Linked DNA regions of Struthio camelus. The protein of the gene in region 4 binds, or shares a complex with, the protein of the main gene of each other region. Links are inferred from orthologs where the notes say so. Each region holds a gene or a part of one and is shown on either strand. Other genes may lie near its edges.

Region 1 (7,464 bases), on a different chromosome or scaffold from region 4:
GAGTGCAGCCGTGAGGCAGGGGCACTAACTTGGCAAGTCCCTCCTCCCCCACCTCTATGTGCACCTTGGGACCAGGCCCAGAGTTCAGCCAGACCTGAGGGGACCTCCAGCAACACCCTAATGAAAGCAGGTATGATCAGGGGTGAGGCACAGCGAGAAGAGCGGGACACTGGACTGGTGCATGCACCTTGGTGTAAGAGGGCAGGGACAATGCCCAGCTGAGTCTGTAAAAACTCCACTGACCTGTGCTGGTCCTCATCTAATCCCCACCCTGGGCAGACTTTCTGCAAAATCCACTTGTGGGACAGTCCCAGGTCCCCTCTGGGAGAGGGGAGCCCAGCCTGGCAGTAGATGAGCTCAGGGTTCCCGCACCCCTGGGAGCGGCAGCTTCCCTGCTGCCGATGAGCTGCTATAATACAGACAGCAGTGACCCCGCGTGGGCTGCGCAGAAGGCAGCTGGGGGCTCCCTGCCTCTCACTGGCAGAGGCCCTTGTGCAGGCAAAGATAAACCTCTACAGGCACAGAGCCACCCTCTCGCAGCTGCCGTGCCGGTCCCTTGGGTAGCTCATCAAGGAGGAAGGGAGTGTCTTTTGCATGGGATGACACCAACTGATGCAGAGGCTGGCCTTGCAGACAGCTCTGCTGGAGCTGGTTTAGCCTCCTTTTATAGTCAATGCAAGAGGCATTTTCTCAGCACAGTTCCTCTCATGCTGAAGCACAGGCAAGAGGCTGGTTGGATGTTTTGCCCTTGCCACATGCCTGATTTTCTCTGTTGAGAGATGGGGAGGCTGGCTACAAGCTCAGCTCTCCTGCAGGCGAGGGAAGTGGCAGGGCCTGGAGTGTACTTTCCACCAGTTTAGCTGCCTGTGCTCAAGGCCAGCTCTGTATGGCTGGCCATGAAGGGAAAGAGCTGGAAGAAACTTCTCTGGGATCTTCCTCTTCTTCGGGAGCCATGTCTAAGCACATGCCCTCACCCCTGGCCTCTACCTGAGCTGTGTTAGCCATGCATGTGCCTGGCCATGGACTTCACTGAGCTGGCCTCTGCCCCTGTACTGAGGACTAACTTCCTGGCTTGACCCTGGACCTGATTTGACTGATGATCTGGCCTCTTGGCTGACCCTGGACCTGCTCTTGCAGGACCCTCCTGCACAGAGGCTACACCATGCCAGGGCTGGCACTGCCCTGCCATCACCTTGGCTCCGGCTCGCCTGTCCCGGCGGAGCAGCCTGATCCTGCTGCTCCCTGACAGTAAGTCAGGGTGGGTTTATTCCACCTCTGATGTCAAATGAAAATAAAGATTGTGCGAGTGAGGACAGGATCTCTTTCCAGAGAAGACAAGCAAAGGATTATTGATCCACAAAGCTTAATTTGCCTGCAGGTATATTTAGTGATTTCTTTGATGTGTGGGGAAACATTGCATCCCAACTGACCCAGATTAGCTGAGCGGGTTCTCTTGGAGAGGGCCTGGGATCTGTCTGCGATGCAAACGAGTACTTCAGTCCGGTGTGCTGCAGCGGAAGCTCTTGCTCCGTTTGTGCTGGGCAGCGGCAGCCCCGCGGCAGACGCAGCCCTGCCCTTCGCTGCAGCGGCCGGTGCAAGGGAAGCGTTGTTTGCTGGGAAGGGCTGCCGCTCTGTGGTCAGCTCAAACAGGCAGGTACGGCCAACGTTTGAGAGCTTCCGGCAGCGTTAACCATGAATGCCGACATCAGATATTAAATCTTAAGTCTTGGACAAGCCACGAGGAAAAAAAGAGCACAAACTGGCATAGCCATTTCCATGGCTTGCCAAGAGCAGTCGGCTCTCGGGGAGGGGGGGGGGTGAAAGGGCGAAAGAGCAAGGGATTACTTCCCACAGCTCAAAAACAGTGAGATTAGAAAGACCCGCTTCTACAGAGAAGGAAGTGGTTTCTGATATATACCTTTTCATAACAGATGTTCCAAAATTCAGTGTTTTTTAAAATGATGAAAACTCCTTAATGAAATACAGTGCTCTTAAAAAACAAATACAGAAGCAGTACACTGACATTTTAGTGAGAGTTAAAAAAAAAAAAAAAAAGAAAATCTATTTCCCTCAAAACTTTGGAGTGATTTTTCTTTTTAGCTGCTTCCTATTTTAATTCATTCTGAATTGTTTTCTCCTGCCTCCAGACACCTTTAGTGTTTAAACCACACACAAGATTTCCAGGCTAAAAAAAAAAAAAAATCAAACTCATAAGCTTAATTTTCTGCCACATTTTTTTTTTCTGTGATGGTATTTATAGTAAGTCATTCTGCTTCCACAAATTCCCAGTGCACAGCTCACAAGCGCTGCTTTATTAGAGAAGCGTAAGCGGGCAGGGAGCTAAACAGTGCGGGGGGGGGGGGCGACTCTGCCTTAAACCCACCTTTGTGCGCTCTGGATCCTGCGCTGCTCAGGGCGCTGGGGTGAGGCTGATGTCATCGGAGCAGCCAGATTTTTTGCAGCATCAGCACTTTCTGTGGGTATTTGGGAGGAGGAAGACAAAGCAGAAAGGCATTTAGAGTCAGGATTGTGCTTTGCCCACTTACTCCTTTGCACCCAACCCACACTCTGGCGATACATGGCAGGGAGACAGGGCATGCCAGTACTTGACTTTTCTGGTAAACTGAAAATTAAAAAAAAAAGAAAAGCAACTCCTTTCTGATGGAAATTATTTTTTTCCAGCTTTTCTCCCTGAAATAATAATTTGTAATAGAAGTAATTATAAACATTTAATGATAGACTAAAACTTTACTAATTTAACTAATCACTTCAGAATTGTTTCTGCCCCATGATGAGCCCTTTTAATAAGGGGGGCTTGGACCCAGACGTGCCCCGCAGGCTGCTGTGTGCTGTCGGGAGGAAACAGTCGTCGCGGCTGGCTAATCTCTCCCCTGCCCTCCTCCAGAGCCGGTCAGTACCCACAGATTTCACTGCATGCTAATCCCCTTCGCTGCACATACCGTGGCCACAGCAGTTACTCTTTTTTTCCCAACAGCCGATAGGTAACAATTACGCACTTGTCTGTGCTTGGCCGCTGAGCACAAAAATGATGGATTATCTCGAGAAAATCACCTGAAGCAGAAGAGGTTATTCTCTCACAGTGACAAATACCGGAATATTTGCAGTTGAGAACTTCAGCCTGCAAAGATTTTTGCTCTTCTGTATCAGTTTGGTTTTGGCTTTAACCTAGCATAAAACTCAAATTCTTCATCTTCTTTTTTTTTTTTTCTTTCATTGGCTCTGTAAAATGCTGTATCTATGGAAGAATGCAGAGCTCCCTAGCTGTACAAAAGTGTAGCCAGCAGGTTGAGGGAAGTGGTAATTCCCCAGTACTTGGCACTGGTGAGACCTTATCTGTGTCTGGTTTCGGCCCTCCAGAGCAAGAGACGTCACCAAACAGGCCCAAGTCCAGCGGATGGCTGCTAAGATGCTCAGAGGCTGGTGGGCGTGAGGCAAGGCCAGAGGAGCTGCAGGTGTTCAGCCTGGAGAAGGCTCCGTGGGGATCTGAGAGCGGTCTCTCTGCCTCCAGGGGGCTGTAGAGAGGACGCAACCAGCCCCTCCTCGGAGGTGTGCCATGACAAGAGGCAAGGGGCACAAGCTGCAAAAAAGAAAATTCTAGTTGGACATAAAGGAAAAACTTTTCCCCGTGAGAGCAGTGGCCCTCTGGGCCAGGGGCCCAAAGAGGCAGGGGAACTGCTGCCTTGGAAATACTCAAAACTCAACTGGATAAGGCCCTGAGTAGCCTGATTCGAAGATCGCCCTTCTATGAGCCATTACATTGCTCAGATTACATCCTCCCTAAATCCTTTTCTGTTTTTATGCTTAGGCAGACAAACAGACCTCAGAGAGGTGCTGAACCAGCCATCTGAGCAGCGAAGTTCATGGTGGACCCAGACTGCCAGTCTGCTTTCATTTTTGCTCATATTTCACTGTGTTTTATGGAGCTCTGAAAAATACAAAAGTCTTTTCCTTTACACTTTCTCTGAAAGGAAGCGCTTGTGGCGCTGCCAGTTGTGCACACGAGCGGCTCCAATTATTCCTTGCAAGCCAGCGTCTGGGATCGGTCAGCAAAGGACTTCACTGCTCTCACTGTACCCCCCGAAATGCCGTGTGTTCCCGCCTGCGGACCCCTGGCAACGGGGCCCGGCACGTTCTCATGCAGCAGTATGGCTTTTTCCTGCCATTTTCCCCTACTTTAGCTGCCGGGACCGAGCTTGTGGCCCTCTTGCACACAAGAGGAGCTTGCAATGGAGAGCTGCTGAGCCAGCGCAGGGTTTCGGGCCCGCCCGTGAAGAGCTGCCCAGCAGAGGAGGGCCTCTCCTCGGGCAGGCCTCGGGGGACCACGACGCCATTCCCAGCGCCAAGCTAAATTCGACGGGGCCGCGGCGCCTCCCGCCCCGCCCACCCCGCGGCCCCGCCCCGCCGCATCCGGCCCCGCCCCTGCCGCCAGGCCCCGCCCCCTCCCTCGCGGCGGCTGGCGGCGCCGCAGCCGTGGCGGCCATTTTGTGGCGCTGCGCGGTCGGTGGCGCTGGGCTCGGCGCGCGGAGCGGGGCCCGGGCGGCGGTTTAGCTCCTTTCTAACCCCTTTTTCCCGTACAGATCCCTCGGTAAGAGAGCGGCAGCGCCCGGGCGGGCCGGGCCGGGGCCGGCTGGGCCAGCGCCGCCTGCCCCGCGCTGCGGGCCCTGCGGCGGGGCGAGGCGAGGCGAGGCGAGGCGAGGGGAGGGAGGCCGGGCGCGGAGCGGGTGGCACGCGTCCCCGCGCACAAAGGGCCGCGCCGCGTCGCGCCGGAGCGGGCGGCTCCTCCCGGGCGGCCCCGCCGCAGTCCGGGCCCGATGGCGCCCGCGGCCCCCGGGGTGGCCGGGCGGGCGGCGCTCACGCCCCCGCGCGGCGCGGCCTGGGGCGCTGAGGCCGGGGGGGCCTGGGGCGCGGGCCGAGCGCGCTCCCTCCCGGCGCCCGCGGAGCTGCGCGGCCCGGCGCGGGCAGGTGAGTATGTGCGCGCCGAGCGCAGGCGCGGCGGGGCCCGGCCGGCGGGGGCGGCCGAGTGACCTTGCAGCGGCGCCGGGGCCGGCGCGGGGCCGCGGCGGCGGCGGCGGCGGCCGGGTCTGGGCGGCGCCGCGGTGGGCCGTATCCCGCGGCGGGGCGCGGGCGCGGGCGGGGCCGCGGCGGGTGGCTGCGCGGTGTCGCCGCGGGCTGTGGTCGGCCGGTGGGCGCGGGCGCGGCGGCGGGGGCCGTTGGCGGAGGCCGGCGCTGCTGGCGCGTCAGGAAGCGGCGCGGGGCGCTCCCGGCGGGTGCTGGCGCGGCCCGGGGGGGGCGCCGGCGGCCGCTTCTCGCCGGGCCCCGGGGGACGAAGCGGGAACAACCTTGCACGGGGCAAGGTACCTGCCCTGCAAGGTGTTGATTTCTGTAGGTGGTACCGTCAGCTGGAGGTTTCTGGCCTTTTTGTGTCAGCAGAAGTGTGGAATGCATCTCCTTCCTTCTGGTTTTTCTCCTTTCAGAAAGCCTTTTAAAAAGGGAGGTAAAGACAGGTCCTTGCAATGATCCAAAAGTTACCTCGTGTCATACCTGTTTAACATACAGAATGGGGAGGTGCTGTGTTTTTTTTTTTTTTTTTTTTTTTCCCTAGGAGATCTGAATTCCACTATACTGGCTTATTGCCCCACAACTGGATTATAGGACCAGTTGGCTTGAGGTGCACATGCATAGTATAATGGTTGTAGGGCTTGGTTAATTGAAGCAGGCTGTCAGTGCAATTTTGGGAAACCTTTACATCTCCTTTACCTATTTGAAGTCTTCCCAGTGCTAGAAATGCTTCTTTGATCCCAAGCTAGTGTTTCTAATTTAAACATGTGAAAACAGATCAAAAGGGATATTTGAGTGTGGATGAGTACAAACTGGGTAAAATATATTTCTTCCCTTCTGTTAGTGTAGGTAGTTTAATAATGTATGCTGTAGTAGATGAAACCCTATTTGTTAAAATACTATACTAATAAATAACTTGAAACAACTTTTTGTAGGCATCTGTGCAGAAGGTCATAGCTAAGAAAGTATGTAACAGAAATGCTTTTGATCTAGGTTTGTTTATTTGTTTGTATCTGAGTAAGGAATGCTTCACAGGACCTATTTCCAGAAAAGTGAAGTGAGAAGAGTTACGACAAGGATCGTTCATAGTGTGATTCTCTTTTCAATTTTTGTGTGTCTTAATAGTTCTGTAGTTGAAGAAGACTTGGACTTGTTATTTGATTTAAGTTAGCTTGTGGGAGAGTTCAGTTTATGTTCTGGCTGATAACTTTGTTAGTGTTTCCTAAATGGAAATAAAATTTTACTTCATTGTTCTGAGAGTAAAATCTGTTTGCCTGCAATCCAGGGTAATTAATTAAGGTCAAGTTGGGAATGAGGCTAGAATATTAATTGCTCATAACAGTGCTGTCTTGGCTGAAACTTAAGAAGCGCATAATTAATTCTTACTTTTAATTGGGTAAGTTCTCTGAAGCCACTCTTTTGCTCTTGTACATCCTGGATCACCTAGGCAATGATATTGACCTAAATTCTCCCCCTTGTTCAGGAAAGAGTGTGATCTCTAATTTATTTGTAGGGGATGTTAAGTTTTGTGTAACTGTATCTTTGATCTGTGACTGCATCTCTGGAAACTAAATGGTGTCTGTGGTTGTAATTTGTCAGACCTTGACATAAGCTAACACTGTTATAGAAAAGCCATATTGCCACTTCTCATTTCTGCCCATATGGCACTGTCCTGTGCAGATGTGAGCACTTGGGCTACAGCATTGTGAGCTGAGCTAAAGAATGTGCATGGGGGAGGGTTTATTGTTTAGCCCTGCAAGTGGTTGCCCTTGCTCAGTATTTAAACTGTGTTCTTGATTCTTGCCTAGTTGTGTGGGTGCAGGGTTTAAAAAAAAAAAATAGTTGTAGATATTTTGGATTTACTGTTGCATTTATATTGAAAAGTTTTGTGGAGCGTTTGTAGCGGCTCTGTCAGCAGTTCTACATGTCTACTTTTCTTTTTTTACTTTGTTTTATTTTTTTTATCATTTTCATACTTTTCTTACTTGCTTGTCCACAGGGTTGTTATCTTGTGCTTCCTGTAGAAAGACTTTCTTCAGGTAAGAAATAGTGACTAAGTGCTGTCATCTGGTGCTTACTGTCAAAATGCCAGTAGTAGCATGACCTATATCTTCCAAAAAACTTCTTGGGACTGGTGGCTTTTCAGGCAGTGTTCTTGTAAAAAGCATTTTTTGGTGGATGGAAGCACCAAATTTAACTGATCACTTGTGTGTAGATGTATAGTGTGGCCGTTCTCACTGACTGCAGATGCATGTGGCAGAAAATAGTGCATGTTAGTATGTAATATTTACTGTTTTTTGAGTCTTGCTAATTTGCTGACAAGCCTTTGTCTGTTTTTTACTGGGCTTGAGTACTTCTGGCCAACCTTGCTTGAATACAGCCAGC
Region 2 (7,292 bases), on a different chromosome or scaffold from region 4:
TGGTTCACAGCACTGTGCAGGGCAAGTGTTTGTGCTACCACACAGTGAGACGGGGCAGGGAATTCCTCCCCCTGAACACAGCCCAGCAAGGAAGAAGGCTCTAGTTCACCACATGGTCACACAATCGTTTTCGCTAGCACAGCGAAGGAGCAAGTGACTTATGCACCACTGTTGCCTACAGTGACAAACTGCAGTTTCACATTACCTCCACCACAGTCTAACTGCAGGGTGTCACCAAAAGGAGCAGATCTACCTTCTTTCCTCATCCTCCTTCCCAGTGAAACGCCTTCCCTGCCCGTTGCACTCAATTTAGTAACTGCATGTCTGCAAGAGTCAGATCAACAAGCTCACCTGATAGAAAACTATGCACCCTCCCAATTCCAACTGCCCCAGCTCACCCCGCGGCTGTGTGATTGCTAGATCCAGCTCCAGGGAGGGCACAGAACAAGGCTGCTTTTGACAGCAGCTGCTATTTAGACTGGACCAGGTGTGACGTGACATACCTTAGCCTCCTTTTACTTCTAAATAAGCTAGTTTAAGCAATTGAAAGGACTAAGATATCTAGATGACCATAAGACAACAACGTATTTGTGTATTACTGAATTTGTTAGCATCACTGTGGCAAAACCATGCCAAGAGGTATTCAAACTAGCAAACATCTAGGATGTATGAAGACCTAATTACAAATATGCTGAAATGCTATGGCTATATACACATAACCTCAGCAGTTCCAAAATGACTGATCTAAATCCTCACACTCCACAGAGAGATCATCTGCTAACTGACCACTGTCTGGAAGAAGTGAATAGCACCTGCACATCCTTAAAGATAAGGACAAGAGTAAATCCAAGAACAACTCCTTCCTCCTCTGGAGTATCATAAAAAGGATACACCTCCAAGCTTTATTTGGTAAAAATGTGACTAAAATGGACAGATCTAATTTGAAACTAACCTTTTTTTAACCCTGGAATCTGATGATAAAAAGACATAGAAGGAGGCATAGACAAAATATTTGCTTGGGGACCATCTCATGATGATATATGCACCGTCCTAAGATTTCAACTTCTACTTACTCTTACAGTTTTGGATATCCTATCAAAAAAGTGTCATTTGTTTTCAAAAATCCAGACTAACCCTAGGATAGCAACAAGCGAAAGTTTTCCAAGAACCACTACTAATGGGCAGAAAAATACTTTAAGTGAACTATTTATTGTCCTGAACCTTAAAGACCATCTCTAGTCTTATGTGAAGGACTGAGCTCAAATCTTTTGGTGATCACGTGAAGAAACTTTCTATGTATTAAGAAGCTTCATATCACAAGTATATTTCCACGCGTAAGCAAAAGTTTCACCCTTTACATCCTGAACTTCTGTAATTGAGCTGCTTTTCTGAACTTCCTGTTACCAATTTTAAAATGCATGCTTTTAACGTTCAACATTAAAGCTCATATATAGTATTTTCTTCTGTTGTTCAAAATCCAGTCAGCTACTGAAACGCTTCTGGTGAGCAAGCTGGCATAACACAAAGGAATCTGATTTTGGGCTTTTTTTTTTGTTTGGTTTAAGTAGAGAATCTATTAGCCTGTTACAAAAACAAAGCATACAAAAAATATATCGTTTTCCCATTAACCCGATACCTTTGCAGCCCTGGAAAGAGCTCTACTGCAAATACTACTCTTAACAGCTCTACCAGGCAGCACAATGAAGCACTTTGGCCACCTTCAATATCATTGCTACCCATTTGTTTGCAGCAGACATGGATATCGACAACCTTTGCTTAAGCAGCAAAGCGAATGAAACCAGATACGAATGAAACTGGACAGAAGAAGCCCACTCGAGATTTCAGCATAAGGTTAAAAAAAGTCTTCCTGTTTGTGGAAGAATTTAAAGAAAAACGAATGAGGGAACTCTCTTTTTATTCAGCAAGAGGAAGTGCAAGTCAACAGCAGAAAAAGATGCAGTAGCATATGTCACGTCCAAACGCTTCCTAGAGCGGGTAGGAACCCTCGATTCTTGAGCCATCCAGCTGCGCGGGCAGCCCCGTAGGTGTGTTTTGCTCCTTACGTGACCCAGGCAAAGAGACTGGACTGAAGACCGGGCTCCGCACCGCCCCCGCCACCTGCCCCGACCTAGCCCTTTTGGGAGTCTCCAGCCAGAAAGACGTCTCAGAAGCGCAGGCTCCCCAGGCGGTCTCCGGCTCTAAGGAGCCGGCCTCGCCTCGCGGCCGCCGGGAGGGCCGAGGCCGCGCTCCGGCCGCAGAGGCGCAGGGCGAGCGGCAGCCCCGCGCACAGCCCGCCCCGGCGGCGGCGGCGGCGGCGCCCGCGCTCTCCCTCCGCGCCCGCCCGCCCGCCGCGGCAGGACGACAGGCGGCTCCGGGGCCGGCGGGAACTTGCCTTGAATGACGTGCTCGGGGGAGATGGTTTTCTTCTCCGACTTGTTGCAGATCTCGTTGGCCTCGGAGGAGATGAGGTGGATGAACTCGGTGCAGCAGTTCACCACCAGCTCCCGGGCGTCGTTGGCCACGCGCACGTTGGGCAGCGTCTCCTTGATCATCTTGTTGATGGCCGCCCGCGGGATGGTGAGGTCGTCGTCGTTGCCCGAGGACGAGGCCATGCCGGCTGCCGCTCGCTCCCCGAGGGGCGCTGCGCTCCCGCGCTCACCGCTCCCCCTCGGCCGCCGCGCGGGGCTCCGGGGCGGGGCGGCGGCGGGGGGGGAGGGAGGGGGGTGCGAGGCGCGGCGCGGCCGCGGCGCGGACGGACGGGCGGGGTCGCGGGCCGGTGCGCGGAGCGGGCGAGCGCTGCCCCGGGCTCAGGGCTCCCTCGGCCGCGGCGCCTGCCACTGCCGCCTCCGCCACATCCTTCGGGGCGCCGGCGCCGCCGCCTTATGACCCGCGCGGAGGGCAGCGGAGCGGCCAAATCGGCGGGGCGGCGCGGCGCGGCGGGGCACGGCGGCTCCCCCGGCCGGCGGCGGCGGCGGCGGCGCGGGCTGAGCACGGGCTCGACCTGCCAGCCACGGCGCTTCCGCCGGAAGCCGGGTCAAGCTTCCGCCGCCGCCGCCTGGCCCCGCCCCGCCCCTCGCCGCGACCGCCGGAAGGGGGCGGGCGGCGGCGCCGCACGGCGGGAGGGGCCGGGCCGCCTGGGAGCGGGGGGCGGCGCTACGAGCGGGGCGTGAGCCCGGCGCGGGGGCGGCTGCTGCGTGGCGCGGCCCTGCCGGGGCCGCGGGCTGCCGCGCGTGGCCGGCGGCGCTCCGTCACGCCCGGCGGCAGCGCGGAGGGCCGCGCCGGGCCAGCCGCGGTTGAAACTAGGCTGCTGGCCTGGTCTGAGTCGAGTTGCGGCGCTAGGGGGAAGAGAAGGGAAAGGGAAGGACCTGCACCTCCTGCTTACGGTACTTCTTAGGGGGGCTTGGGGAAAGGACAGCCGCCGAGGACGGCTCCTGCTGCCGTAGCGAGTTTCGTGTAATTTTCCTTTTAAAAGGGGAAGCAAAGCCACTCCAGTGTTTTTAACGTCGAAATTGCCCAAGGAAGGGAACGGATTCACATTAGTTTTTAGTGATAAGGTTCTGTTTTTGCAGGAAATACAACAAGGTAAGAAGCAATTGAAAAAAAATGTTATTGTCCACTAGTTGTAGTCAGCAAGTAACCACTGCCTATAAAGCAAGTATTCATAACGTGATATATATATATATATATGTAAAAATAATATTAAAATACTCTAGTTGCACTTTTTAAAGGATTGACGAGTATTTTTCTTGTATATTCTGCAGTTAGTCCTGATTTCTGGAAGTGTGATGCTACTGTGATTGAGGAGTTACCATACTAGTAAGCAGAAGGATAAAATAATTTTATGATTTGAGAATCTATCCATAATTTACATGCAGTACACATCTCAGGTTATGTTATAGTCTAGTAAGTGAAGGGGATCAGATTAGTATTTAATACATAAATGTCAATTAATGTTCACATTTCCACAAAAACTGATCTCTGTAAAAGGCAAGAGCTAAACTGACCAAACCTGTAGAAGATTTTACTTTCAAGAGTCTGGAAACTGTAAAGTTCAAGATAAATAAACTGAGCTGAATATCTTAGCTAAGCTCAAACAAACATCTTGATTGCCTTTTTAACAATTACAGAGCAAATACATTTTAATAACAACATACTGTGTTATCAGTAGCTAGAACAAATTATTCAGATGTACACAGAATAAACTGGCATTTATTGTGAGGGTTTTCCCAGGTCAAAGCTCTTTCTACTTCTCCACCTTAGCAGTTTGATAAAGTTAAGACTCGCGCTGAAGACTTTGTCATGATGAAAAACCATTTTGTAGAATGTATCAATGGGTAGATCTCCATTTGGATCTGCATACTTCAGAGTTGTCATCGGAGTATACAAGGTGTTGGTCTGATGGCGAAAAGGCGGATTCTCTGCAAGAATTATCTTTACTGTATGCTGTCAAGAACGAGAAAGTAAATCGTTAAAGAACTTTGAAAATCATTTTTTTAAATTATTATTTTGATAAGTTAGGCAGAGGAAGAGTGGGAGAATAAATTTTAGAGTTGTGTAAAACCCTGTATGAAATTTAATTAGAATTTAATTAGAATTGTTTCTTAGAACAATTTTAAGCCAAAAGAAAAACTTCTTATTTCTTCTTAATCCTATTTCTGTTCATCTAGACTATGGTGATGACACCTTACACCTAAGTGTACTGAGTAGTCCTTCAAGATTATCCATGTAGGCCCTCAATAGATAGATACCTCCTTTTACAGTTCACTGGAAAAGGGTGAGAATGGTGCACTTTGCAACAAGACCCAGGAAGCTTCAGCTGACACCCAAGCTATCCCTTAGCAGCCAGCACCTGAAGTCATTGTTCTCTCCCCCAACTTTCCAGACTTTGCTTCCTGCAGAAAGCCTCAAACAACGGAAACTATATCCTTTATTGTACCTTACCGGTTTCACAACTGTCTTTTAAACTCTTTGGTAATTCTTAAATTACAACACACACATCCCCTCGCCCCCCCCCCCCCCAAAAAAAAAAAAGAGAATTGTTGATGAGTTACCTCTGCAACATCCTCAGCACTTTGCCCCAGGCTCTGGAAAATTTGTTTGTAATTTTTAAGGTAAATGTTAGTAAACATCTCAGCTGTTTCCTTGTCTGCAGCTGAAAGATCCATTTTCATTCCATCTTCAAAAACTTTTCTTTCAAACTCTGTGACCACTGGGCCGGGTTCAATCAGACTTAACCTGTTCAAAGAGCAAAGATACACTGGTTATAGAGTCTTCTGCATGGGAAATACATGCAGCTATCCTTCTTAAAGGATATTGAATAGTTACAGTACCCGTTAGCAAGCAATATTGAATGGTACACTCTGTAATGGTGATCCATACCACATTTCTGGCCTGCAGCTCTTACCCATCCGCGTGTAGATGTAGAAAAAAAGGATAATTTAATTTCTGGGAAGCGTTCTAACTTAGTTTGTGGCAGAACTGAGTGCAGTTGTTACCTGCTGTCTAACAACTGTGGAATCTGAGGATGATTAAGCCATGAGATCTCCTCAAAGATTAAGAAAAGCAATTTAAGGATGATTACAAAATTCATTACTTTCCGGACAAAATCCTACATAGATTTCTTTACCATAGCTTTCACATGATAATACTCAAAGTAAATGAAAAAAAAAAGGTGAGGGAGGGAGGGGGGGGGAAGGAAACTGCCCAAATAGATTTTCTTTGTCAAGCCTTCAGCGTTACATAATTGCAGAGCACTCTATAAAATTATATAAAATACAATATGGAGATTTTTGCTGTGGATGGACAGATTTTGGCTGCTGCCTTACCAGATATCTGGAAAATCAGATTTTGATCAGTAATGTATTATAGCAAATCACTGAAATACGTACACTTACTGACCAACTGTTTTCCATTTCTACTCTCAGGTAGTACTTACCTCCAGCCACCATGCTTATGAAACAACTCTTTTGGATAGGACTTTTTCGTAGAGATGACTTCTGCTCAGGCTCTTCTTTAGAACTACTAACCTTAGAAGCTACTGACCTTGACAGCAGAATTCCAGCTGCTGCTGGAATTACAGCCTTTTCGCTTGCGTAATATAATCATTTAAGCTGTCAGTCTCCTCACTGGGCCTTGGACTTTTTCCATTCTACTTGCTGGGCACCACGTTTTGTTTGTTTACCTCCTTTCCTCTGTATCTCAGAGTCTTGAAATCTTATAAATTCTATCATACCCTGTATATCATTACATCATGACTTTTCAGAGCTGGGTGCAAAACGCCCATTTGGATGCAGCTTTGTCTCTGGAATCACGTGAAAGCAGCTGTCTCTTCTCCCACAGCACAAGGGCTAAATGCTCCGGCATACACAGGTGCACTGGATGTTTAACAATTGTTGGACTTCACACATACAAAGTAGCAGCAAAGTTTCATCCTGTAATATGCCAATGTGAATGTATAGGTGACAAATCAGACACCTAAATCCCACAGGCCACCGACTGGACCATTCTCTTAAATACTGTCTTAAACAGTAAGAAAATACTACGCTGCAACACTAAATTGTTCCTTGCCTTCCTTTTACCTCCAGCCCCTAGGGGTTATCTCAGTCTGTGTGCCCTTCTGATGAATTTCCACTGCATTCTCTCTGTTATGATGCCCTTGAACTTTTTAATCTTTGGATTGTCTAAGAAATAAAGACTCTTATCCTTTCTAAAGGAAAGTATTACAGGTTGGTATTATAATTCTATTCAAATGGTATCGTATGCAAGAATCGGTATTTTTAAGAAGTACATTGACCTCTATTTTGTTCAAAGCTAAACAGCCTTACGCTATTCAAGATAACATGCTTCGTTAGCATCTAAGCCTTTTTAAGGGTTTGTTTCATTTGAAGGATGAGAACATTTCTGTGCCATTTGTGGTGTACAGTTGCCATGGGTTCCTCAGTTTGTTTCTCCTAGACAGTAGCAAGCTTAAAACATTTGTTTGCTAGCTCTGAATACATTTTAAAACTAAAATATAGTTCACATCTGTGGATCCATACTTACTGGAGCTTAAACTTGAGTGCCTGTATAGCTAAGCTTTCGCAGAATCCTTCCACAGCAAACTTAGACGCAGCATAAACATCATTAAATAAGATACCTGATGGCACAAACAAAACATCCAGAGAATGTGATTGTATGCGACATACTTATATTGTAGTTCTTTGTTATACTAATCTTTTAGTTTAAGAACCACTTGTATTTTCCCCAAATTTCTACAGTCTTGCTGGGAAAACATAAAAAAATCCTTGTTTATG
Region 3 (7,789 bases), on a different chromosome or scaffold from region 4:
CCAGCGGGACATCCCACCATTAGGTCCCCTTCCCGGGGCTCGCAGCACCCCCAGGCCCTGCCCCGGGAAGCTCACGCGCCGTGTGGTGGCCGCGGGGAGCACGGAGAGTCCGGGCACAGAAAATTTTGGGGTCCTTGGGGAAAGCCGTGCCCACGCCGCCCTCACCTTCCCAGGCGGCGGCACCGGGAAGGCGCTGGCGCCCGGGCCCTGCCTCGCACGCGAGGGAGAACTTCTTCTCCACCCAGCCGCGGGCTCGCAGCAGGCTCCGGATCACGGGGTAGGGGCCTTGCAGCATGAAGATCTTCTTTTGCTGGTGAGGGACGGCGGTGGAGCTGAGCGCGCTGCCCCGCGCCGCAGGGACCGGGGGGCCGGCGGCAGCCCTCACCTCGATGGCCCTCTCCACGCGCAGCCGGACCCGCTTGAGGCGCTCCGGGTTGAGCGAGGGGCGGCCGCCGCCGCCACCCTCCATCGCCGCGCGCCCTGGGGGAGAAGAGCCCCGGCTCGGCAGCCCCCACCTCGCCGCCGGGCCGGGCCGCCGGGGAGGGAGAGGCTCCTACCGTCCTGCCGCCGCCGCCGGGCGGCCGTGGGGGCGGGCAGCCCCTCCGGGAAGGGGGGAGGCAGAGCCCCTTTCTCCGCCGCCCGCTCCATCCGCATGGCGGCACCTCGGCCCAGCGGCGCGACCCTGGAGCTGCCCTCCTCGCCCGCCGGGACCGGGGGGCTCCGAGGGGGCCGGCGGCGTGCCCGCAGTGGGGCTGCAGCCCTGCAGGCGCAGCCCGCCGCCCCTCACCCCGAGGGCTGCTCGCCCCGCGGCCGCCGGCGGCCTGCCGGCCCCCGAGCCATGGCGCGTCCCGCGGCGGCCTGGGGGCACGGAGAAGCCGCTAGCGGCGCTGCCTCCGTCGGACGCCCCGGGGGGAGAAGACAGGGTGCTCGCTGCCGCCCCGGGGCTGGCGCAGCCGTGGCAGGACGGTGCCGGCAGCCTGGAGAGGCCCCAGGCCCAGGCGCCCGCACGGCTCCTCCGCCCCGCGCTCCGGAGCTTGCAGCGCAACGCGTGCGGCCCCTGCAGCCCCCCTCGTGCCCCCCCAGCCCCTCTCGTGCCCCCACCACCGACACCATCCTACCCCCCAGCCCTCCGCACCAACACAGCCCCCCCAGACCTCCTCATGCCCCCCCCCGACCCCCCTTCATCCCCCATCGTCCCCCACAGCCCCCCTAAATACCGCCCCCCCCGGACCCCGCTGTGCCCCGGCCCGGCCCGCACCGTCGGGGCCGCCCCCGCTGTTTGGCGTTGCCATGGCAGCGCCGCCAGGCCCCGCCCCCTGCGCCGCCAGGCCCCGCCCCCCCGCTCAAGAACCGGCGCGGGGAGGGGGGGGGAAACGGTGTCCCCCACCGCCAGGCAGGAGGGAAGCGAGCAGCCGAGTTACAGCAAACGAGGAATTGTTAAAAAAAAGAAAAACAAAGGGGGAAGGGAGGGGAGGGAAAAAACCAAAGGAGGAACGAAGAGCAGGGAGTCGGCACGGTCTGACACGAGCACGGTTCGCTTCAGGACACCCGGTCCTCTCGCCCGTCCCCGCGGACGGCTCCGTAGCATCTGGCGGCTTCTCCTCTCTTCCGCAGGCGGCGAGGCCGGGCTGCGGCCGGCCCCGCGGGGACGCCGGAGAAGCCAGGGAGCTCAGCACCACGGTTCAGAACTGCAAGGCAAGAAGGGAAGGCACAGGGCCGCTGACTGCCGGCTCCTCGCGCGCTCGCCCTCCCCTCCCGCGCCCAGCGTGCCATCCGCGCTGCGCCGAGGCGGCCTCAAGCCACGTCTGGCTGATCAGCAGGGACGGAGACGAACGATAACTGCCGTTCGGCACTGCTTGGATTGTGGAGCTCTGCGCTCACTTCCCTGCCTCCCCTCGCCCTGGGGACCGCGCAGCTCGTCTCAGCAGTCCGCGTCCCGCAGCTGCCGCTCGCGCCCTAGCAAAGCGCCAGCCCGCTGGCAGCCTTGCAAAGCTGGCGCGTCACGCTGCGCTCCTCTCTCACTGAGGAGGGAGCAAAGCGGGCAGTAGCTCTTCCAGGTACCCCCACCCGCTCCCCACGTGATTCCCCTGCCCCAAAGGGCACCTTCCCAGGGGGCTGCCGCCACCTGCGCCACAGACGGGGACAGCCCGGGGCCAGGCTTCCGCGCGCGAGGGTCACGGCAGGCCGGAGCTGCACCCTCGTCCAGAGACACGGGAACCATCGCCTCCCGCTTTAGAGCCTCACGTTCTTGAGGAACTCCTCTGCCACGATGCGAGCCCTGGCGTTGACAGACAGCTTCATCTCACTGATCTCCTTGTCGATCTCCTCCATGAAATGGATCACAAAGTCCACGAGCTTGTGCTTGTACATCTGCTCTGTGTGGAAGTTTGTGATCAAAAAGCTGATGTCGTAGCCCTGGAGAAGAGAGAAGTGGCAGAAACAGTTAGCGCACCAACCCCGTGAGCACACGTCCTCTTTCGGCTCCGGAGACCCCCCTCTCCCCAGCAGTGCCAAAAGCACAGCAGGATGCTGCTCTGCAGCTCCACGGGTCACCTCACCTCCACAGGCTTCCTGCGCAGGATGAAGAAGTTCTCAGCCCTCATCATCATAAAACGCATGAATTTATGGCACAAGATCTTCTCGATCTCATCAGCCTGCAGAGAGAAAGCAGAAGTGAGGCTTCCTCCAAGCAACACACAAGCCACCAGCCTGTTCCCTCCCCTCCCACCAGCTCACCTGTTTCACTGCAATGCTGACTCGCACAGAGTTAATGGATCCCTCTATAAGGACCTTTTCCTTCTCGTTCCTGCTGATGATCACTGGCTGCAACAGCAGCTCTTTGCTGCTTCTGTGGATGCAAGAGAAGCTCAGCACTGATTAACGAGCACTTGCTGGCCACACAGGGCATGCAAGCAGGGAGCTGCAGGGATCACAGCCAATACGGACACTTGGGAGTTTGTTTTGTGCTCCAACACGATGCTTTCCACCTCCCAGGCACACGCATCATGAAGGCAGATCCTCCCTCCTCTTTGCAGTTTCTCAGCTCCCGGGCTGACCAGCCCCATCGCTGCCTGGTGGCAGCTGCTGAGTGCAGAGGCCTCTCCAGCCTGCACAGTCCCCTCGCGTCAGGCCCAGACATGCTAAGCAAAGGCAGCAGTGACTAGATGGGATTGTTTTTTGGTGTAAAAACCCCAACAAGAATTAACCCATCCCAGTGTCCAAAACCAGGACTCAGTTCCCAGTGTCCAAAACCAGGACTCAGTTCCCAGTGTCCAAAACCAGGACTCAGCTAGGCTCAGGAACAGTGCTGGACTCAGTGCACTAAAACCAGAGCAGAGACCGTTTTCCCCGTGCTGCTAAAGCTGAGCTGGCAGCGTCGCAGCACAACAGCTCCACAGGGACACGCTGGCCCCGGAAACCAGCCAGAGGCAGAGCAGCAGCCCGGGGGCAGCTGCCTCCAACGAAAGGATGGCGGAGGGCCCGAGCGGAGCGGGGGCCCCGCAGGCACAGCCGCCCCCTGGCCGTACCTGACTTCCACCTCGGGCTTGTTGTGGCGCTCCACGACCTGCGAGGAGAAGTTCTCCAGGCACAGGGCGGCCTGCAGCGTGGCGCGCACCGCGTTCAGGTACGGGCGCAGCGTGGCGGTCTGCGGGGACACGGCGTCAGAGCTGGCAAACGGTGCGGCCCACTGCCCCCCACCCCGGCTCGGGCCCCCCCACCCCCAGCTCGGGACTGCCGCCCCCCCAAACCCCCAGTCATCCTTCTCAGGCCCCCCCCACCCGCCTAAAACCCCAGCCCGCCCCAGCTGCCCTCCTCAGCCCCCCCACCCCACCCCAGGCTGGGGCCTTCCGCCCCCCCCCCAAACCCCCAGCTCGCCCCAGCCGCCCCCCTCAGGACCCCCCCACCCCCGACTCGGGCCTGCCGCCCCCCTAAACCCCCAGCTCGCCCCAGCCGCCCCCCTCAGGACCCCTCACCCCCGGCCCCCCCGCCCGCCCCCAGTCCACCCCCATCAACGCCCCCCGGTCCGCTGCCGGCCTAGGCCCCGCCAACCCCCCCGCCAGGTCCCTCCATCCGCCCCCGGGCCCAGCCACACAGCCCCCGCCACCCCCCCCCCTACCATGGTGGCGGCTCCGGTCCGGTCCCGGCAGGCGGAAGTAGCTGTCCCCGGCGGCTCCTCTCTTCCGGGATGGCCGGGAGCTCCCACTGCAGCGGGAGGGGGGGTCGGGGGAGGCTCCCGCCGCGCGCCGAAGGGCGCGGGCCGCACCGAGCTGGCCTCGCCTCACCGCGCAGAGGAAAGTGACGGCGGCGGGCACGGCGGCTCGCGATGGCGGTGCGCGATGGCGGCGGCCCGCTCATCCCCCCCCGCCCGCCCGCCGCGTTGGTATAGTCCCGTCACTGCATCCATATTAGGGAAGGCAAAAAGAGCGTGGGCCGGGCCAATAGGCGACGGGTGCTGGGCGCGGCTCAGCCAATGGGAAGTGTGGGGCGGGGCAAGGCGGGCGCGGCGTTGGCCTACGGAGGCCGGAAGGGACGAGCGGCCTAGGCCCGGCCCCCCGCGGCCCTCCCGGCCGCCCCCGCCCCGCGGCGCCGCCGCCCCCCCGCCCGGCCGCGGCACGCGCTGCCCCGCCGGCGCCTTCCGGGCGGCCCCGGCGCCCCCGGGACCTCCCCGACCCCCCCCCCGGGGCTTCCCTGCGTCCCGGCCCCGCCCCCTCAGCGCCCCGGTCCCAACCCCCCCCCTCCGCCGGTTCCCCTCAGCACCCCGGTTCTCTCCACCCCCCCCCCGCTTCCCCTCAGTGCCCCGATCCTTCTGCCCCCCGCCCCGTTCCCCCGAACACACCCGTGTGCTCCCCCCGGTGCCCGCCGCCATGAGCGAGCTGAAGGACTGCCCGCTGCAGTTCCACGACTTCAAGTCGGTGGACCACGTGAAGGTGTGCCCGCGCTACACGGCCGTGCTGGCCCGCTCCGAGGACGACGGCATCGGCATCGAGGAGCTGGACACGCTGCAGCTGGAGCTGGAGACGCTGCTCTCCTCTGCCAGCCGCCGCCTCCGCGTCCTGGAGGCCGAGACGCAGGTGCGGGCGCCGCCGCCTGCCCCGCGCGGCGAGGGCCGCTGGGGCCCGCCGCCCGCTCCCTCGCCTGTTCGTTCACGCCGAGGGGCTGCGGCGGCCTGTTGGGCTGCCGTTGGTGTGGGCAGCGGGCCCGTCCCCAGGCTGCGCTGTGTGGCATGACATGGTGTTGCTCTCTTCCAGATCCTGACAGACTGGCAAGACAAGAAGGGTGACCGGCGGTTCCTGAAGCTGAGCAAGGAGCATGATGTGGGCACTTCTGTCAAACATGGGAAGCCCAAGAAGCAGAAGCTGGAGGGCAAAGGGGGTCACGGGACAGGGCCTGGCCCTGGTCGGCCCAAATCCAAGAACCTGCAGCCCAAGATCCAGGAATACGAGTTCCCAGATGATCCCATTGATGTTCCCCGGATTCCCAAAAATGATGCTCCAAACAGGTGCATGGGGAACATTTGGATCATCCGTTTCCTTCCTTGCAGCTCCTGGCGAGAGGGCTGGCTTGGACCCGAGGGAAGAGGTGCCCTGGAGGGAAGGGGGGGTGTGAGTCGGCCTTTGCCGCGGCCCACGCTGTGCCTCTGCAGCCCCCCCTTACTGTCCGTTTGCTCCGTCCTCGCAGGTTCTGGGCCTCGGTGGAGCCGTACTGCGCCGACCTCACCAACGAGGAAGTCAGAGTCCTGGAAGAGCTGCTCAAGCCGCCTGAGGACGAGGCTGAGCATTACAAGGTGAAAGATCTAAAGCCCACCCAGTCTTGTAGCCTCTCTTCCTGTCTGTTTTCTAATCCTGGGCCAGTCTCCTGTCAATGCAGTCTTGTGCCTTACAGTGAACGCTCGCCCTGTGGGGATGATACTAGTTTTTTCCTGCAAAAGCAGGAATTTATCTGCACACTTTTCTCTTCTGGCTCCCGTGAGAGAGTGTCTTGGCTGCGGCCACGAGGTAGCAACTTGCTGCCCCCGTTCTGGGGCAGTGCTGAGGTTGTTGCTGTGCGCTTTCCTGTCCTTGGGAGGCAGTGCCCAGCTGTAGTCTGTCTGTTCCTGCTGCAGCGTGGTCCCGGCCTGTGAGACTCGTGGTGTTCTTACATGCAGAGTTCCTGTTGTTACATCCAACTTTGAGCACAAGGGACCTCTCTGGACCCTTGTCTGAGAGACCCCAAGCCCCCTTTCCCTTGTGCCAGCTGCAGGGCTCTGTTTGTTCTAGGGAGCCGAGCAGAAGGATTTTACACGCTCTAGGGAAGAGGACCGGCAGCAGACGGTTGTTTTTGTTGTCACCCGCTTGTAAGCGGGTGAAGAACTGGGGAACGGGGGCAGTTGTGGAGATGAGAAGTAGCAGCCAGGATGGGGTGAGAGACTTGGCTGCTCTCACCTCTGCTGCGTTACACGTGTGGTGCTGTTGGATAGCCACAGTTTCCACACGTGGAGATGACATCTCTGGTCTCGGCTACAGAAGAGCCCTGGGTGAGGGCTCCCTGCCTGATCAAAGACGCTGTGACCAGGGCTGGTGCTCGCGGTACCAGCTCCCTGATCTGGTCGTGTCCTGCCAGCGCTGCGTGTGTGACGGGCCCGTGCCTCTTGTACAGTGGGGATGGCTGAGTCACGATCAGGAAAACGCTCTTCCCGTAGCACGGTTTTAGATTTCACTCATAACGTTGTGGTTGCTCTTCCTGTGAGAGTGCAGCTTGTGGTTGCCGCTTTGTGTAGCTTAAAGACTCGCTGGGGTCTGCGCCGGCCGGTGGCACCGCCAAGCCGAACGGCGCCGGGCCAGCCAAAGGGGCAGGGCGGCTGCCGAGGAGCTCGGCCCTGGAGCTCACGGGCAGCTGCGCCGCCTCCAGGGCCGCGTCTGGAGGTGCCGAATTCTGCCATCTGCTCTGCGCAGGAGCTGTGGGAGAGGAGGGGAGGGCCCAGGCCTTGGGAAAGCGGGAGAGCAGCCCTGGGGATAGGGTTGTAGAGCCCCAGGGCAGCCGGGTACTGGCCTGGCTGCGAGCCAGGTGAAGTGTGCGGGGCTGGGTCCTTGGATGTAGGGCCTGCTCCGTGGCACGGCAGGGCCCGTCTCCTCGTGCCTGAGCTCTGGCGCGGACGAGGGCCCTGGGACGCTGTGCTGACCGCTGCTCTCGCTTGTCCTGTGGTTGCAGATCCCGCCTCTGGGGAAGCATTACTCCCAGCGCTGGGCCCAGGAGGACCTGCTGGAGGAGCAGAAGGACGGAGCCCGGGCAGCAGCTGCTGCTGACAAGAAGAAAGGCATCCTGGGACCGCTGACTGAGCTGGACACTAAAGGTGCCTCCATCCCTGCCTGCGTCTGCCCTCTGTGAACGGCCTGGAGGGGGCTGCAAGGCACCTACACGGAGCACAGCCAAGCCCCTGGGACGCTGGCCCTGCTGCCCTGGGGGTTCCTCCCTTTCCGGTGGCTGCCCTGGGGAGGGCACAACTCGAGCGCAGCTGCAGGGAGGCTCAGGTGGCAGAGACAGAATGGAGTAAAGCTGTCCCTGCAGAGGAGAGAACAGTTCACCTTGCACCGGAGTCCCGCTGAGGCGTTGGCCTCTCCCCTGCTGCTCACTGTTTTCCCTGCTTCCTCCCAGATGTTGATGCCCTGCTGAAGAAGTCGGAGGCCCAGCACGAGCAGCCTGAGGACGGGTGCCCCTTCGGGCCCTTGACGCAGCGTCTCCTGCAGGCCCTTGTGGAGGTGAGAGGGCTCGGGATTGCGTTGTGGCTCTGTCGGGCAGTGTCACTGCAGCT
Region 4 (7,936 bases):
CAAGAGCTGGCTAGCCACTCTCCATTAGGACTAAATTTTACTGACGAGACTGCCTTTGTATGTCCTGCTAACGTGAACTTTAGAGCATAGTTTGGTTTTACTGGTGCAGGCTGTAAAAAAAAAAAAAAATATATATATATATATATATATATATATATATATATACACACACACACACAGACACACACATACATACATGAATGAGTCGTATAAATACCAAACTGAATATCTCAATGACAAGTTCTGTATTAGACCAGGTCACTACACAGTATCAGACTGCATGAATAGTCACCATAATAGATTCTACTGTTTACATTTTCCCCTCTCCAAATTCAGACAAAAATCTTGATGCCTGGAGCAAGCAGTGCCTCACTGCACATGCACAACAACAAACTCATCTTTGGTATGAATTACATCCAAACCAATAATAAATAGGCGAGAGTAATCCAACAGTCCAATCACAGACCGCCTGACAGATTAAAATAAAACACTTAGTGCTATTAAATATTTGTAGTCCTTTAACTTTTTGTGAATCATATCACAAACCAATTCTTCCACATTCCCAAAACCCCAAACATTCTCCCTTCTCACCATTTGCACAGTTTTTGCGGTTAAACAGTGACAACTCCCTTCAACATCCACAGGCCTCAAACAATGACTGCTTCTCCACCCTGCAACTAAGACGGTAAATTCACCTATTCTCCAGTAACGTCTAGGCCTTCCAACACCTTAGATTTCTAATGCTGAAAGGGACAAAAAGTATTTCCTCTGCATGAACTTGAAGAAACAAAGATACCCTAGCACAAAAGAGGTTGTACTTCATCTGCTTTCCCATAAAATCGTTAGCACATTTTCAGTTCAACAGCAGTAGCAGAAATCCCAAGTTCTTAATTCCTATCAGAATTCAATTTCTTAAAAATCTCTAATTCTAGTTTGCCTTTTGAATATGTAGACAGTTTCCATGCGTATTTACAAAGATATTGTTCAGAGGCCCACACACACCTTGCTCTGATTGGTTGAGGAGGAAGGAGTAGATTGTGTTTTGGTGGATTCTGCATCTGGCTTCTTTTCTTCTGTTGCCATGGTTCTGAAGCTGGCAAATGAGACTTATGGTGCTTGAAGGGGAGAATGAATGTGCTGCTTCAAAAGACAGCCTTTGCCACAGAGAGGAGAAATCACACTGGAAATGAAAACCTGGAAGAAAAACAAAGTATCATTAGCTGTCAAAGAAAGATTGTCAGCAACTAGAAGAATGAGATGAGCATAACTGCAGGTCCCCAGAAACCAGTGTTAAAAGACAAAACAAAACAAGAAAAACACGCACTATGGATCTTTTATCCAGAGAACTGAATCCTGCAAGCAGACTTAAGGAAACATCACATCACCAACATAGCAACATTTATTTCATGCGGTCAGATCTATTAAAGTGCAAGATCAAGAACCCAATCTGTGGCCTTTAATCACTTCTTGGAAAGCTGTTTTACACTGCCCTGTTAATTAGAAATAAAGCAGAATAGCTTTTAGGTGTGGCAAGGTTTTTCCTATAATACTCCCCAATATGCCTATGAGAAGTACTTTAATAGCATAGTTTAAAACCATAGACAATGGTTTGCGCAGAAGGTGGAAAGATCCGTCCGAGGCCTTTTTTCAGATGTATCAAGACACAGAACACAAAATCATAATACAAAGAAGAAAGTAACAGGCATCTCCAAAGCTTAAAATCTTGCTAGGTTCCTTTCATCTTGTAATTCAAGTATTCCAGTCTCATGTTTCTCCCCTAAACGGTCAGAGCACCAAATCACGCTCTTCTTTTCCTGAGTCTTTCACCTGACTAAGAGCCAGCCTTGTATTAGTCGCAACAGACTTGCTTTCTGTAACAAAACCTGGTAAAGCGCTGTGCTGGTATTCTGTAATCGGCGCTGATACTGCAGAGGGAACGATCTCCGCTGCAGCTCCGCCAGATTTCAGCTTAGTAACAGACTCACCTCCAGCTCACACGCCAAGGATTTGTCTTTAAAGTACGTTTGCAACATCCCGCTACTGCTACCGCTCTTTTCTGCTGGTGGCAGCAGATTTGGGCGCAACAGCATTTGCTCTTCCAGCGACCAGCGGCATGATAAGCACCTCGTCCTCGGGAGGGCACAGAGCTAAGCGCTACCGGTTGCCTGCCGGCTCTTACAAGCCCTCTCCGCGGCGCGGACAGACGGCAAGAATAAGAAATGAAAACTTTCCTAACCCAGGTCAGATCTTTTTCATCTGGAACTAATCCGGCAGCTCCCGCGAGCGCGCACCCGCCCTGCCAAGGCGCCGCCGGCTGCCGGGGGGCCGCGACGGCATCGCCCCGCGCAGCCCGGCCCCCGCCAGCCGCCGCCGCGCACGCGGCACCGACACCCGCCCGCCCGCCCGCGCCACGGCCGCCGGCAGACGCCCCTGCCCGCCCGCGCCGGGGGAAGTTCTCCGCCGGGAGCCCAAACTTTGGCGGCGGCGCCGCCAGCTCCGCGGTGCGGGGGGGGGAAGGAGGTCGCAGAGCCGCCGCCGCCGCGCCCGCCCCGCGCCGCTCCCGCCGCCCCCCGCGACGGGCGGGAAAGGGAAGGGGGGGGAGGGGGCGCCGCGCGCTGCCTGAGGGGAGGCGGCGGCGGCGGCAGCGCCGCGCGCGCGTGAGGGTGGGAGGGAGGGTGTGTGTGTGGAGGGGGGGGAGGGGGGAGCTCCGCTCCGGCCCCCCCATTCCACCCCACCCCATCCCATCCCATCCCGCCCCGCCGCCGCTGCTGCTGCTGCCTCTCAGTGACTTACCGGGGGAGGGGGAAGGGGCGGGGGAGATGGCGGCGCCGCCGCCTCCTCCGCGGCGGGGCGGGGGGGGGCAGCGCGGCCGCGGGAGGGGAGGGGGGGACGCGGCGGCGGCGGCAGCTCCGGAGCCGCCAGGCGGGGGAATGTGGGATGGCGCATGCGCGGTCCGGGCCAAAGGCTGCACAATGCCGCTCTCTCCCGGGAGCGCTACGGCAAGGCCGAAGAGTCAAAAAGCAGCAAGCGGGGAGGTTTGGGGGGGGGGGGGGGAGCTGGCAACGCCTTAAAGGCGCAGGCGCCTGCTTCACTTCTCCCTTTCCCCCTTGCCGCGCCTTCCACTCGCCTTTTTCTCTCTAGGGTTGAACAGCAGCGGCTAGAGAGAAGGAAGGATGTGCCCTGCCCTCCCTCCGCCGAGGAAGAGGCCTGCAAGCTGCAGCCGCAGCTCCGGGGCGGCCAGGCGGGCAGCCGGCCTCGAGGGCGCAGGGCGGCCGAGGCCTGCGAGGCGCGCAGGGGCCTGCCTGGCGGTGTCGGCCGGGAACCGGCGGTGCTGCTGGGCTCAGCGGAGAGGGAAGGGGTGGCGGGAGGGGTGCTGATAATCCACCCCGTGCTGGCCCAGGTTAACGGGACGTACCCCCCCCCATCACCTCGCGCTCGGCCCTGGGCGGCTTCCCCTCGTAACAGGGAGCGCTCTAGGGGCTGGCGGTCGGGGACGGAGCCCTCTGCCTCGGCCTGTGCTGAATGACAAAAAAAAAAAAAAAAAAAGTAATTCAGCCCGGCCACAGCAGGGCTGGATGTTTTGGGGGTCATAATATGCAAAACAGCACTGCTGAAAATATGCTGCAGTGCTGCGGATAAGAACTGGTAATGAAAAGGCTGGATGCTGATCCATCAGGCTCGACACTAACGCATGTAATGCGTAAAGGTGATGTGTGAGCCATTCAATACCACAATATTTGACTGGGTATGAGTACATCTAAGCCAGTCCTCGGTGTACAAGGGCCCAGACTCAGAAAAGCATATAACTGATTCATTACGGCCAAACAACCTACTTAAAGTTAAGCGCCTGTTTAACCACTTTTCTGGAGAGTAATGTTTTCTTTTTTTTTTTTTTTCCTCCTGAACCACAGCTCTAGGCTGCACAGGACGCAGTACGGTCTGCTTTTAGTTAAGAGGAAAAAAAAGCAAGAGACACGTGTCACTTACTGGCCCTTTAACACAGGAAGATCTTTGGGCTCCAAAAATTCTAGTGGCAGTTGAGAAAGGAAAAAGCTGAAAAAAGCTGCGGTGCAGCGAAGCCAAGGCCCATCTCCTTCAGCCTGGAAACCCAAGCGGAAGTCTGGAGAATTAACCCTGCCATCCAAACGCAGGGAGGAGAACACAGAGATGTAAGAGCTGTGCTGTCCCCAGAACCGTATTAGGAAATGAATCAAGCTGAGTTTCAGTCAGTCCTTCTTCCAGATGGATTTGGCCCGAAGTTTTGTTGTTTGAAAAAAAAAAATGGGGGGGGGGGGTGAGGGAGAAGGCACAGGAGAGTACACAAATCAGCATGATAATGCTATTTATTTGTTCAGCTTTCTTGTGATAGGAATAGAGTGTTTTGTTTCTTTCATGCTGGTTAAAGTTTGTCTGTATTGTGCCACTGCCTGCTTTGGAAGCCCTTGCCTATTATTTTATACATATGTGCATATATATATTTATATCTATATCCTTATCTATAGTGAATAATATATCTCTGGAACTCAAAAATGATAACCCCAGTAACATAGTAACAATTATTCTAAACAACCCCTTGGCTTCTGAATCCTGTTTTTGTTATTAACACATTTGAATGATTTTAAGCAGAGTTTGGCTAAGTATTTGCACACATGCTGGACTGGATTTTTGACAGCATGGCTCATGCAGAGAAAGGAAATGCAGCGAGCAAGGGCATTTCATCAGGACTGAATAACATGAGTGAATACTCAGAGATCCAAAGGACAGCCCATTGTCTTGGGATGAAGCTTAACTTGTTGGTTATGAGTCATCCATGAGGATCCTTCTTGCTCTGATCAGGCTGTGCTGCCGCAGCTGTGATCAGCAGGATGTGCTATCTGTCCAAATTCCCTCTCTGTAAAAGAGTGGGGCTTGGCAGGCTGCTCTCTTGCAAAATCTTTCATTCCATTTGGTTCAAAATAGCCTGAACGTGGTGACCTGCCAAGTACACTGGAAAAGACACCTGTCTGAGAGTTTTTGGAAGGGAGCAGCTTCCCATAATGGTGAAAGGGAAAGAAAAGTCTTTCCGTAAATGGCTCAGAGCATACGAGAGTGACTGCTGTCAGTGCCGCTGAGATCCCTTCAGGTGGCTTTAAGGGTGTCAGGAACTAAGCTGGGGCCAAGGGTCCTGCTGTTGCTAATGTAATAAATTTTGTCACAGGTTCCACTGAGAGCAGAATCAATCCAGTCCTGCAGATCTCATCCAAATGATGTTAATATTTGTGGAAAAGCTCCCACTAACTTCAGCACATGCTGGATCTGCTTTTTAGACTTGTCTGCTACAAACAAGCACATGCTTACGTTTGTGACGGTAAGTAATAAGGCACTAAGCTTACAAGCTGCATTAGCCCATATTTAGGCTTTGGCACAATTAGCAGTCTCAGTTAGGGTTTTTATTTGCTTGGGCCACTCGTACAGCAAACGGAAAGCGCAGGACGGACAGACTGTGTGTTACACACTGTTGAAGAAACAGTAGGAACAAGAAATCGTGAAAGAGACCTGCTGCATCTTTTATACTTTTAAAGAGCAACTGATCCCTGACATGTAGCTGTTTCTGTGTGGTTGCTAATATGCTGCTCTGTTTGTTCTAAATCCCAGATACATCACGTTCATATGTTTCTCCTGGGATTTAAAAACAAACACTGAATGTTTTCCAGGCTGATATTTCTACCTCCCCCACTGCAGTATGAACCTTGCTTGCATCAGTGCCAACATTTGTTCATTGAAAACTAGGAAACCTTACCTCAGTGGAAAGTAGGTAGGATTTGATCCATTTTGCCCAGGGATGGATACGTACAAACCCTCAGCCTGGGCACAGGAACTTATGGAAGCTGAAGAACTTCTTTTGAAATAAGATCATTGAACATGGCATGTATAGAGCTCCATCTCAGTAAAATTCCTGTTATGAAGCGGTCTGCGTTTGTGTAGGAGAAGCTAGGACTTCATGCAGGATTAGGGTCCAGCACAGTGCTGTAATGTATCATTCTGTACAGAGTCTCCCCAATCTCAGCCAACTTAATGCAAAAAGGCTGCTGATTTGAGAGCCTTAGACGGAATCACACGTGATCTGACTGCCAGACGTGATGACAGCCTGCCTCTCCCAGCCACTTCAACTGGAGCAGCAGGTTCTCAGCACTTCTGTGAATCAGGAACTTTGTGCCTGGCTGGTGCAAATGGTTGCAATGCAGATGAATGGACAGTTCGATACAACTAGCTCATATCCCTGTCCTGAGACAGTTTTAACGAAATCTAAGTATTATTATTACTCATTGTCATTGAGAAATGGAAAAGTTTAGAACTGTTATTATTAGATTAGAGCACCTCTTTACCATTCTCTCCAGTCTTTGTAAGAGGGCGGGATGAAAAGGAAGAAAATACACAGGAATCCATTAGGGATTTGGCCAGCTGAAACCTAGCATGTTCTGGTATCTGTCAGTTTAAACTGCCAGCTCAGTAGCACACGCTATTCAAAAGCTTGCTTACCTGTGCAAACCACTGTTAACAGCAGGTGCTGCATATTCGCACCACACTGAACGTATAACAAAACCATTTAGACACATCTAACCAAATAAACGTATTTACTGTGGCAAAGGCTACATAGCCATATCGAGTGAGTGGTTTCTCTTCACTTCTCAGATTCCTTTGGCAGGTCCTTTTCTTCTCTCCTGCAATACTTCAGTGCAGGGACTGAAGGCACAAACCTTGCGTATGGTGAAGCAAGATTATTTATTTCATATTTCGTCCTCTCTTATATACCGGACCCTTATTGTGTAAGAATACGGCTGTGTTTACTGACTAAAGTTGCTTTGCTACGTTACTACAAGCCACGTTCTGCATTAAGATTATCTTCCCTCTCTCACGTCCTTGTCCTAGTTTCAATATCTGCATTCTGATAGCTCACGGGCACCTGCCCGTCTTGGCACTGACACAAGTCTTCATATTATGCACACTTTCCCAGGGCTTCTGGCACTGAGGGAATGCTTTGTTGCTGCTCCTAATCGTCTTCTGGTACACATCGCCCCCGACATCTCCCCCTTTTTGTTTTAACAAAACTGCATACGCTTGTTGATTGAAGGCGCGATCTATCATTCGTTGCACGCATTGTAGAAGACAGGGAAACAGGCACAAACAGACTAAGATTATCAACAATACAATCAAGCCACTCTTCACAATAGTTAATAACCACCCTGTGATCCCCCATCCTGAGAATACTCGTCCCAGCCAATCATTGTCATCTAACCTCAACTTCGCTATGCTCTCCTTCAATCTCACTATACTGTCGTGAATAGATTCTGAGTGATCTGACAAATTCATAAAACACATTCCTTCCAAAATCTCACCCCCGTGGCCATGCGCCAATAATAAAAAATCTATAGCTGCACGATTCTGCAATGTAGCATGTCTTATAGAATCAACATTGGTAAGCAGCCCTGATAGTGCTGTTGCAGTATTATGAGTCTGCTTGGCAAGCCAACACCCTAATTTATTTAAGGTTGCTAAAGCATTTGCAGCAGCGACCCCAGGAGTAAAAAATGGATGCCGTAATAATCTCTCCTGGGTTCCAGAAGGTAAGATCATCTCTACAATCTTTTTGAAAAGGATGTGTAGATGGTCTAATGCGTTTTCATCGTTTTTCTAGAATCATTGTAGAATGGGGCAAATACATTCCCAATGTTACATTACACCATAAAGTTGTATTGCGATAAACAGCTAAAGTAGCATTAACAACTGGGCTGGGTACCTGTAGAAACACAAGCATAACCCCTCCGCCACGTTATCAGAGAAAAAGGTCCTTTCCATTGGCCGGAGTCCAGATCACGGACCATAACTTGTGCTTGTCCTGAAGGAAGAAGGCGTGAAAAAGAGTTAAAATGGGAGGCAACAGGGGTCTGCTCATCAC

Evidence for each region.
Region 1: WDR5 (region 4) and PHF20 share a complex: the UniProt entries of both Homo sapiens proteins name them as parts of the NSL complex. The link is inferred for Struthio camelus from reciprocal best matches to the Homo sapiens genes WDR5 and PHF20.
Region 2: WDR5 (region 4) and DR1 share a complex: the UniProt entries of both Homo sapiens proteins name them as parts of the ADA2A-containing complex. The link is inferred for Struthio camelus from reciprocal best matches to the Homo sapiens genes WDR5 and DR1.
Region 3: WDR5 (region 4) and TADA3 share a complex: the UniProt entries of both Homo sapiens proteins name them as parts of the ADA2A-containing complex. The link is inferred for Struthio camelus from reciprocal best matches to the Homo sapiens genes WDR5 and TADA3.

Annotation. Positions count from the first base shown.
Region 1 is NC_090959.1:1,298,332-1,305,795, reverse strand, and holds the start of PHF20 (PHD finger protein 20), read left to right. Parts: upstream 1-4,464; 5' UTR 4,465-4,606; intron 4,607-7,078; exon of another isoform or gene 7,079-7,118; intron 7,119-7,464. UniProt on the Homo sapiens protein: Methyllysine-binding protein, component of the MOF histone acetyltransferase protein complex.
Region 2 is NC_090949.1:18,518,207-18,525,498, forward strand, and holds the start of DR1 (protein Dr1), read right to left. Parts: upstream 3,006-7,292; 5' UTR 2,613-3,005; coding exon 2,393-2,612; intron 1-2,392. Other genes in the region: retinol dehydrogenase 8, read right to left, coding at 4,210-4,443, 5,052-5,235, 7,042-7,135. UniProt on the Homo sapiens protein: The association of the DR1/DRAP1 heterodimer with TBP results in a functional repression of both activated and basal transcription of class II genes.
Region 3 is NC_090955.1:9,933,961-9,941,749, reverse strand, and holds the start of TADA3 (transcriptional adapter 3), read left to right. Parts: upstream 1-4,782; 5' UTR 4,783-4,865; coding exon 4,866-5,072; intron 5,073-5,249; coding exon 5,250-5,500; intron 5,501-5,679; coding exon 5,680-5,785; intron 5,786-7,188; coding exon 7,189-7,330; intron 7,331-7,632; coding exon 7,633-7,736; intron 7,737-7,789. Other genes in the region: tubulin monoglycylase TTLL3, read right to left, coding at 166-310, 386-469; ARPC4 (actin-related protein 2/3 complex subunit 4), read right to left, coding at 1,683-1,688, 2,245-2,415, 2,559-2,654, 2,737-2,848, 3,528-3,646, 4,118-4,120. UniProt on the Homo sapiens protein: Functions as a component of the PCAF complex. The PCAF complex is capable of efficiently acetylating histones in a nucleosomal context. The PCAF complex could be considered as the human version of the yeast SAGA complex.
Region 4 is NC_090961.1:4,664,578-4,672,513, forward strand, and holds the start of WDR5 (WD repeat-containing protein 5), read right to left. Parts: upstream 3,013-7,936; 5' UTR 2,794-3,012; intron 2,373-2,793; exon of another isoform or gene 1,986-2,372; intron 1,195-1,985; 5' UTR 1,084-1,194; coding exon 1,003-1,083; intron 111-1,002; coding exon 2-110; intron 1-1.